2 linked regions of the Oryctolagus cuniculus genome follow. The protein of the gene in region 2 purifies or fractionates together with the protein of the main gene of each other region. This does not show direct contact. Links are inferred from orthologs where the notes say so. Each region holds a gene or a part of one and is shown on either strand. Other genes may lie near its edges.

Region 1 (4,365 bases), on a different chromosome or scaffold from region 2:
TCATCTGTTTTGTACACCAATGTAGTTCTCATAGCCCTGGACGGCGCCTGGAACATAGCAGACATTTAAAAACTGTTGACTTCCTGATGGGCTTCTCTTGTGTTCACTCCGGAGTCACACTGTTTTTCAGTGAGGGCTTGGTGGCAGGGTATTCAAGAGTCATCCAACAGTACGAAGTCTGTGGGCTTGCCTAGAGCAGAACCCCTGTATCTTATCTGTCTAGATGCTCAATCTACAAAGAAATGTCTGGAACCCAGAGCAAAGTTTGGTTGGGAAGGAAAATCTACAGTCGCACATGTACCAGGAATAATCTTTGTCTGATTTGTTGGAAAAGATTCAAATCCCCCTCCCTAGGCAAAGCTGATCAGAGTGCAAGGTGCAAGTTAATTTGAATTTTGCCCCCCCCCCCCCCCCGCCTTCATTCTCACAGGAAACGGAACAGGCTTTCAAAATTCTATAAATAGTTCAGGTAACCAACAAAGACCTAGTGGTGTAGTGACCTGGACCTGGATTCGAATCACTGCCCCTCGCTCAGCTGCCTGTACAAACACGGATTGCGCAGGCTCTCCCAGGAGCTTCGCTTTTCTCGTCTCTACAATGGAGATGCCTTTTTTACTTTCTTCACCGGTTTTTGATGAGAAGGATGTAAAACTGCGCATGAAACTACTGAAGTCGTATGCCAATGCATTATCCCCAGTATCTCCACGCGGGTTCCGCGGAAGGGCTCAGAATGAAGAGTGTAGGTCGTCGTCGGGAAAGGGGCGGGGAGGGGGGACCCGTAATCTGATAACGGCAAGGCTAGCTGGGGTCGGAGGGGGGCCCGGGCTTTCCCGCCCCACGGTCCTCCAGGGGCAGAGCCACGAGGGTTCTGCCGATCGCTCCGCGCTGCATGAGGGCCCAGAGATCCAGGCTCAACTCCATGCTTGCTTTCCGGTCAGATGTCACAATCTATAAACCCCACTGAGGACTAACGCAGAGGCACCCTCAAGACGCTGAAGCGAAAGCCGAGACGCAGGGAAGGAGAGGGTCGCTGCGATGGCTGAGGGAGCAACGCTACAGCTCGCAGACAGGAGGGTGGCGCCCTATGCGGCAGAAAGGCAGCGGAGGAGGGGCTCGCCATCCCGAGTCAAAGTGAGGCCCGGGCGAGAGGGGCCAACCAGAGGAATCTCGGTTCCCACACCTCGACTCCCGGCCTTGACTACGGTTCCTTCCGCAGACGCCCGGGGCCTCGGCCCCGCCTCTAACGTAATCAGACCGTACCATGTCTCTCTTATAGGGGTAGAGAAGAATCGTAGGCTAGGCCTGCAGAGCGAAGGTGAGCTATTGATCAGAGAAAACATGATGATATATATTCTCTTATATGTATTAGTTAGTTTTTTTCCTTCTTTCTGCTGGGACCCTCGACCCTCCCCGGAAGGTGGTAGGAGTCCGGCCCTGCTTCCCCCCTTCGTTTTCGGCGGTTGGTACGTCCCCCCGCGGTACGTGGGCGGGGAGGCGTACATAAGCCTCGACGCAGGAGGCGGGGCTGCTCAGTCCTCTAGGCGTCGGTGTTCCGAGGTGTCGGAATCTTGTTGCTTGGCGGCCTGTGCGCGCGTGCGCGGAGATGGCCTCAAACGGTATGTAAGGGCGCGAGGCAGCGGTGGCGCGCCGCTCCGGAGGGCCTGGCTTGCTCTCTCCTAGCTGGGCTTTTGATTTTTTTCAGTGGGGCCAGGGCGGCGATCGCGTGTAGGATATTTTCGAACCCCTGTGGCGGGAAGCCCGCGGAGAGGGGCGGAAGGGGGGGCGGGAGGCTGTTGTCGCCATTTTGTTTTGCTCCTCTGGCGCGTTTCGTGCGGGGCGGGAAGTCTTCCCTCCGTTCCCTTGGATGAGGTGGGGGGAGGACGCTTTTCAGCGAGTTCGAGTCTGTGGTAGCGGGCGGAAATGCCCAGGTTCCCGGGCCCCCCCACCCCCTCCACGCCGCGCTCGGGCCCGCTTTGTCGCAGTGCTGCATCCGGGCACTCGGTGCGCGCACGCGCCTTGCGGGCCCCTCCCCCGTGCTCGCGGCGCCGATCCTCCCTTCCCAGCCTCGTGTCAGGCCGGCTTTTTGTCGCGAGACCCTCGGTAGCGGACTCGGCGGCCCGCCTCCGGCGTGGGCCTCGCCCCTCAGGGTCCCACGGGAAGGGGCGGGACCGCCGCGTTCCCGCCTCGGTTGCCACGCGGCCGGGGGCGGATGCTCGGGATCGGGGCCGCGCGCCCGGCCTAACGGTTGAGGGGGGCGTCGGGGAGATCCGCCAACGGTCTCGGGGGCCGAGTCCGAGGGTTTTCCCGCCTAAATTTTCTTTTTCCCCGAATTGGGAACGGGCGTCCGAGGCCACACCCTTCCCCGATCCCTTTGCCGTTTCCTGCGGCGGGAAGCGCCTGGGTTCCTGGACTGAGGGCAGGAGTTGATCTCGCTGCTGCGTCTCGAATGTGACGTCCTAAAAGCGCTTTTCGGTACCTTTTGGGTTGCGGCGGCTCCTCCTGTCTGAGAAGTCGGCAGGAGTCGATGAGAGCCTGTTGGAGCCCCAGGCCTGGGGACTTGAGCACTGATCGAATTGATGAGGGGCCTTGTCGTTTGGCGTCACAGGACCTCTGCTTTTTGGTTGCTTGGCTTTGCTTTAAGACTCCCCTCTGCTTTTTCTCCCAAGATTGGCCAAGGGGCGGAGAATGGCTATTGTTTTTTGGTGCCCACTTAGGAACTCCGTGGCCTTTGTCATGGAGTGGGTGTGACCGGGACAGGGATGGGACAGGTTTTCTAGCAGTTCCTCAAGCGAGTGGAGTTTGCATTGAGAAAGAGTCTGGTGGGGCGTTGGTGGCCAGCAGGGCAGCAGTAGGCTGGTGGGTTTCCTGGCTCCGATGCCCCAGTTCTTGGGTTAAGGAATAGACCTGGCAACCCCTTTCTTGACCCTAACGTTGATTGTCTTTTCTCTTCATCAGACTATACCCAGCAAGCAACCCAAAGGTGAGTGCCGTGTCTGGGCTTCTAGAATTCCTAGCGGGCAAGGGTGGTTGAGGTCATTTTCTTGACTGCACCCTTTTTCTTCTTTTTTCTTTTTCCCCTGCAGCTACGGGGCCTACCCCACCCAGCCTGGGCAGGGCTACTCCCAGCAGAGCAATCAGCCCTACGGACAGCAGAGTTACAGCAGCTACGGGCAGTCAGCAGACACTTCAGGCTATGGCCAGAGCAGCTACGGTTCTTCTTACGGACAGACCCAGAACAGTGAGTCTGTCTTGGGCGGGGGGGTCACTCTGCCTTGAAACCCTAAGCAGTGCTGAAGTGGTGAATCTCTCATGTTTTTTCCCCTTTAACCCTAAAACTTCTTGGAGTCTGCAGTCTTTTCCAGTGAAAATGCTTCCTTCCTTGCTTTTAATCGTTTCCTTTTTTCCTTTGACTTTTTGTTTATGCTGTACCTTTTCTCTGTTTCCCTGCTAAGCATGAGGGCATACTCCCTAAAGAGAGTGCCAGTCTTAGGCTGATTCTTAGTGGAGAAAATGGTCTTCTTGTCTGAAGTCCCATTACTGGGCATCACGGGATACGCCAGGAGAAGGAATTTGCCCCCGAGTTCTGAAGTGAAAATAATTCATGTGGGTTTTCTTGTGTATGGTGTACTCATACCAGCATATTAAAACGTGGTTGACACAGAGGGATATTTTGAATAAGATTCCAGTCTTGGAGACTGGCTTTAGGATAGGTGGAATAAAATTGGAACTGTCTTTAAAAAGTCAGTAGGAGTTAGAACATTAACCTTAGAGTTCAGAAGAATGTCCTTTCCCTGGCTGGGAGTTGCAGGATTTACTAGCAGTTGCTAAGAGGTATGGATGAACATAGGTAGAGTATGTTTTTTTTTTTTTTTTTTCAACCCTTCCCATGCCTTTGTTTCTTCATAGCTCTCGTGACTCCCTTGCTTTGTTTTTCTTCGTAGCAGGCTATGGCGCTCAGTCAGCTCCCCAGGGGTATGGCTCAACTGGCGGCTATGGCAGCAGCCAGAGTTCTCAATCATCCTATGGGCAGCAGTCTTCGTACCCTGGCTATGGACAGCAGCCAGCTCCCAGCAACACCTCCGGCAGGTAAGGTGTTTGTGTGCCCGCAAGATGAGGGGTGAATTGCTAAGGAAAGAAGGCAGAGCACTAGGAGCCATTAGGAGGCGCAGTGTGTGGTGGGGGAAGGGAGGCCTGTGTTGGTAGGGAGGAGGGGATGTGCTGAAAGTGAAAGGAAGTTGTGGGCATGCCGGGGTTCTGATTTGCCTGTGTGTTTCCCGTAGTTACGGCGGCAGTTCTCAGAGCAGCAGCTATGGGCAGCCCCAGAGTGGGGGCTATGGCCAGCAGTCTGGCTATGGCGGACAACAG
Region 2 (4,541 bases):
TAAGAGGAACTACCGCCCATTACAAAGTAACAAGCATGTTCAGGGCTAGGCAAAAAAAAAAACCTTTAAAACAAGCAGTTGTTACCAGAAGATGTTTCTCAATCCCCTACAAGTGAGAAGAAATTCACAACAGTTGGAAACAAAAAGCAAGAGGGTGAAGCCATCATATATTTGCATGTAGGTTAATCCAATCTACCTGAAAACAAGACACTAAGTATTTACATTTAAAACTCTCCACTGTTAAAATGCCAGTCCTTAAAGCATTACCATTTTCTTACTTTTAATTCAACATTTGATGAAAACTAAGACAGTGCTTAAACTCTGAAATCATTTAGAATTTGCAGGTGTAGAGGTGTGTGTGTGTGTGTGTATTTAGGTTCACAATTCACATGCTAGACGTATACATTTCTTTTTAGAGGGATAAGACTTCTCCTTTCTTCAAGTCCCGTTCAATTAACATCAACTGAGACTTTTCAGTACAAATTCTATTATTTTACAGGTTTTTAAAAATAATTTCATGTAATTAAACATAATTCCCAACTACAACTAAATCTAATCGGTTACTCCCTTTCCTACGTATCCTAACGAAAATTCAGCGCCTAAAACCAGAGACCTCCACGTAAAACCAAGCCGACTCATTCCTAGAAACGAGACTCAGTTTGCAAACGCTTTACCCGGAAGGCAGCTGGTTGTAGAAGCAGGGGCGGCCGGACGCCGGCGCGCGTCCGCACAGCGAACCGTGCGGCCCCCAGCTCGCTCTCCCCGACGCCAGGCCGCACGTACGCAGGCCCCGGGGCGCGGCAGCCTGGAGCTCCTTGTCAGGCCCCGGCAAGGAGTGGGGCGGTGGGAAGCAGGAGCCCCAGGGCCACCCTGCAAGAACCCAGCGCCACACACAGGATTACAGAGCCCGATCCGGCCTGGTCTGGAAAACACTTCAGAGGCTCGAGGAGTCTGCACAACGCTGCCCCAAAAAAGGCACGCTACGCACGTTCTCGGAGAAATCCTCCTGCAGAGCTAGCACCCACCTCCCCGTCTCACCACCCTGGGGCTCAGCTGAAAGCAAAGAGAGACCCAGGAAAAAGGGGGCAGGGGGCGTGGGGGCGCAGAGGGAGACAAAGGCACGGTCGGCAAAGACCTGTGTGAGTCTGGAGGGGCCGAGAGAGGCTCCGCTGGGCCGGGAAGCCCAGGCTTCGGGACGGGACCCAAGCGCGGCCGGCGCGCCAGCAGGGTAGGGGCGAGCTCCGGCCTCGCGCCCCGGCTCCCGGGCAGGCCCACCGCACCTGGGCCGGCCGCAGCCTCCCGCGCCCTGCGGCACCACCTAGACCTGCTATGCCCAGAGCGTCCTCCGAGAGACCCCCTTCCTCGCCAGCACAATGGCCAAGAGCCCGGGGCGGGGTGCGGGGAAAGGGTTTGCGCTCGGTGGAGTCTGGGCTCCCAACAATGGGGCGAGAAAAGAATAAAGACGCTCACCTCTGCCGTTTTGGGACCGAGTGCTCAACTTCGATGGGCTTCCCGTGCAGTTCCGTTTTACCTGCGGACACACGAGACATGAGACTGTCGGGTCGCCGGAGCCCCGAGCCCCACACACCCTGGGCGGCGCCACCGGCCGCCCCGAGGCCTCGGCGCCGCCGCTACGCTGGTGGGCAGCGGGCCCCTCGGGAAGTGGGGGCCCCTCGGGTGGCAGCCAGGCACCGGGTCTCTCCGGCCTCTCCAGGACCCTCCCCCACAGGGCCGACTCGGGGGAGAGGGCGCCCAGTCCTGTTCTCTGGTCCCAGCCCAGGCCCTCCGGGAACCGTTGGCGCCGGAGCCGGGGCCGGCCGGACGTGCGGCCGAGCACAGGGCGAGCCGAGCGCCCACAGCCAGGCTGAGTCGGTAGGAGGAGAAGCCCTAAGACTCAGGGCTCTCGGAGGGAACCAGCGCAACCTTGCCGCCCCAGGCCTCGTCGCCCCGCGCGCCCCGGACCAGCGCGCGCGCCCCGCCAGTCCCGGAGGCCGCCGCCGCCCGAGCCCACCTGCCCCCGGCGCGCGTCGGACGGGGCGAGGTGGAGCCGGGGCGGCGCGGGACCGCCCGTGCAAGGCACCAGCCCCGCGGCCTCCCTAGGCAGCCCGTGTCCGGGATACCGTGCGCTCCCTTAGGCCGAGAGGCAGCCGGGTCCAGGCCACGAGTTAGCGAGCAGAGGTTAGCCCGCAGGGAGCAGCAGGGCGAGCAGGCGCCCGCGCCCGGCCCGGGCCCGGCGTGGCGGGGCCTGGAGCGCGCGCCCGCCGCGGCCCCGCGCCCCTCCGTGCCCGCGCGGGGCTTTCTTGACAGCGCGTCCGGCCCGGGCCCTTGGACCCCCGCGCCGCGCGCTGAGTGCCCGGCCTGGGGTCCCGTGGCGCCTCCGGGCGCGGCGGCCAGGCCGGGGCCCACCTGAGAGCGCCTCGATGGCCTTGAGGGCCCAGCCGTCGTCCGGGCAGTCCACGAAGGCGTAGCCCGCCTTCACCAGGAAGGGCCCCGACACCGGGATCTGGGCGTCCTTGAAGATACTTTCGAGGTCCGCGGGCGCCGCGTCCTCGCCCAGGTTCCCGATGTACAGTTTGTTCATCGCGAAAGGGGGCGGCTCGGAAACAGGAACACAGCGCGGGGTGGGGTGGGGGGACGAAAAAATGAAAAACACGGCAGCGGCGAGGGCCAGGTCCCGCAGGTCCGCGCGCGCCGAGCCCGGGTCCGGGGGGCGCGGGGTGCCCCTTCCCGGGCGCTGCAACCGAGAGCGAGGAGAGAGAAAGCCCAGCCCCAGCCCGGGCGCATCCACGAGTCTTCCCAACTCCGAGGAGGAGGAGGAGGAGGAGGAGGCAGAGGCGGAGGCGGGACCAGCCCGCGCGGGGGGAGGGGCGGGGGAGGAAACTACTTGGCGCCCCCCCCACCCCCGGCCCGGCCCGGCCCCGCCGCGCGGCGAAAATAGCGCCCGGCGCGGGGCCCGGCGCAGCGCCGCCCCACCAGGCCCCCGCAGCGCGGCGGGCACGCGGGAGGGGCGCGGGCGGGCGCAGGAATCCACGGCGAGGGCCCGGCTTTTTGAATGAGCCACGTGTTCAAGCTACAAATCAACGTCTCACGTGAGGAATCCCGGCGCCTCAATTAGAGTGGGTTTCGGAGGAGAGGAGGCAGAGAGCGAGAGGCGGTGGGGGTGGGGGTGGGGGTGGGGGTGGGGTGGGGGCGGGGCGGCGTGGGGGAGGGGCGCGGCCGGGGTGGCGGGGGACGGGGGGCGCCGCCGAGTTTGCCCGGGGGCCGGCGGGGCGGGAGCGAGGGGTGGGGGGAGGCCGGGGCATTGATTTTATTTTCCAGGGTGCAGGGGTTGGGGTTGCTTGCTGGGCAGTTCCCCGGCTCTCGGAACCGCAGTTTTTAATTATTCGATTTTTTTCCTTTTTTTTTTTTTTTTTTTTTTTGCAAATAGGTGATGAACGACCAAGGCCGAGAGTCACCGTCCCCAACTCGCCTGGCTGCCTGGAAGACGCCGGAGGTGCGGGCCGGGGCCTGTCCCCACCCCGCCCCGCCCCCCGGCGGCGGGGACCGGACGCGGCGAGGGGCGGGGGGCCGAGCCCCGCGCCCCCGGAGCCGGCGGGGGAGGGGCGCGGCGTCCGGGGCGGGCGTCTGCGCGACACCTCCTCCGCCTGCGCTCGCGGTGGCTCTCGGCTTCGCGATTGCCATTGGCTGCGCGGCTCGGAAAAGGCTCCGGGATAAATGAGGCCGGGGGCGGGCCCGGCCGCCGGTGGGGGAGGGGCGGCCTGCGGGAGACCCCCCCCCCCCACCGCGATCTCGGGGCGGCGAGGCGGGTTGGCACTTTTATGGAGACGATTTCAGTTGGAGAACTTGGGAGCCGTGCGGGGGAAGACCGCCCCGCGCCAGTCCTGGGTGGCAGCCTCACTTGCAAAATGGCCCGAGCCGCTCCCTGCCGCCTCGGTGCGCGCCTTCGGCGGGGCGAGCCCTGCGCCTCTCGCCGGCCTGGGGCGAGCACAATGGTGGGAGTGGGGGAGGGCCTCGGGCGGGGAGCCTGCGAGGGTCTTTCGGGTGCACCGGAGCCCTGGGATGGGCTCGTAGCAGACAGTCCAGGGGAGAGATGGAAAACGCTCGTCTTTAAAGTGAATGAAATCCTACGCAGCGCGGGAACAGGCACTGGGATCTTTAATGACTCGGTGTTCTCGGCGGCAGGAAAATGTGTTGTGAATAGAGAAGGTATCGCAATGTAGCTGCAAACATCTTCGGTAACTCACGGCCGGTGCCGTTGGCTACTCTTCGACCACATTATATACTGTGTGGCATTGAAAAGTGTTTCCCAATAAAGCGTGACCGGGACCTGATATTTTTTTTTTTTTTTGGAAGCACTGGAATTCTTGCATTGTGTTTACGTTTCGTCTCTTAAAAGGAACTTACTTTATGATTTTATGTTAAGTAACCGGAAGGTGTCAGATCATCCATTTTAAAAGCAGCTGTGTCTTCTAACAGGTTTTCCTCTCCTGCCAAGCAAATCCAACTTTGTAAACACGCTTTCACAATAATTTCATTCAGGT

What was found.
Region 1: the proteins of IGF2BP3 (region 2) and FUS purify together in Homo sapiens (affinity purification with mass spectrometry; 3 studies listed by BioGRID and IntAct, with this or other methods). This does not show direct contact. The link is inferred for Oryctolagus cuniculus from reciprocal best matches to the Homo sapiens genes IGF2BP3 and FUS.

The regions. Positions count from the first base shown.
Region 1 is NC_091450.1:6,013,717-6,018,081, reverse strand, and holds the start of FUS (RNA-binding protein FUS), read left to right. Parts: upstream 1-1,501; 5' UTR 1,502-1,603; coding exon 1,604-1,616; intron 1,617-2,955; coding exon 2,956-2,980; intron 2,981-3,083; coding exon 3,084-3,238; intron 3,239-3,941; coding exon 3,942-4,086; intron 4,087-4,280; coding exon 4,281-4,365. UniProt on the Homo sapiens protein: DNA/RNA-binding protein that plays a role in various cellular processes such as transcription regulation, RNA splicing, RNA transport, DNA repair and damage response. Binds to ssRNA containing the consensus sequence 5'-AGGUAA-3'.
Region 2 is NC_091447.1:15,444,510-15,449,050, forward strand, and holds the start of IGF2BP3 (insulin-like growth factor 2 mRNA-binding protein 3), read right to left. Parts: upstream 2,814-4,541; 5' UTR 2,582-2,813; coding exon 2,407-2,581; intron 2,183-2,406; exon of another isoform or gene 2,012-2,182; intron 1,532-2,011; coding exon 1,471-1,531; intron 1-1,470. UniProt on the Homo sapiens protein: RNA-binding factor that may recruit target transcripts to cytoplasmic protein-RNA complexes (mRNPs). This transcript 'caging' into mRNPs allows mRNA transport and transient storage.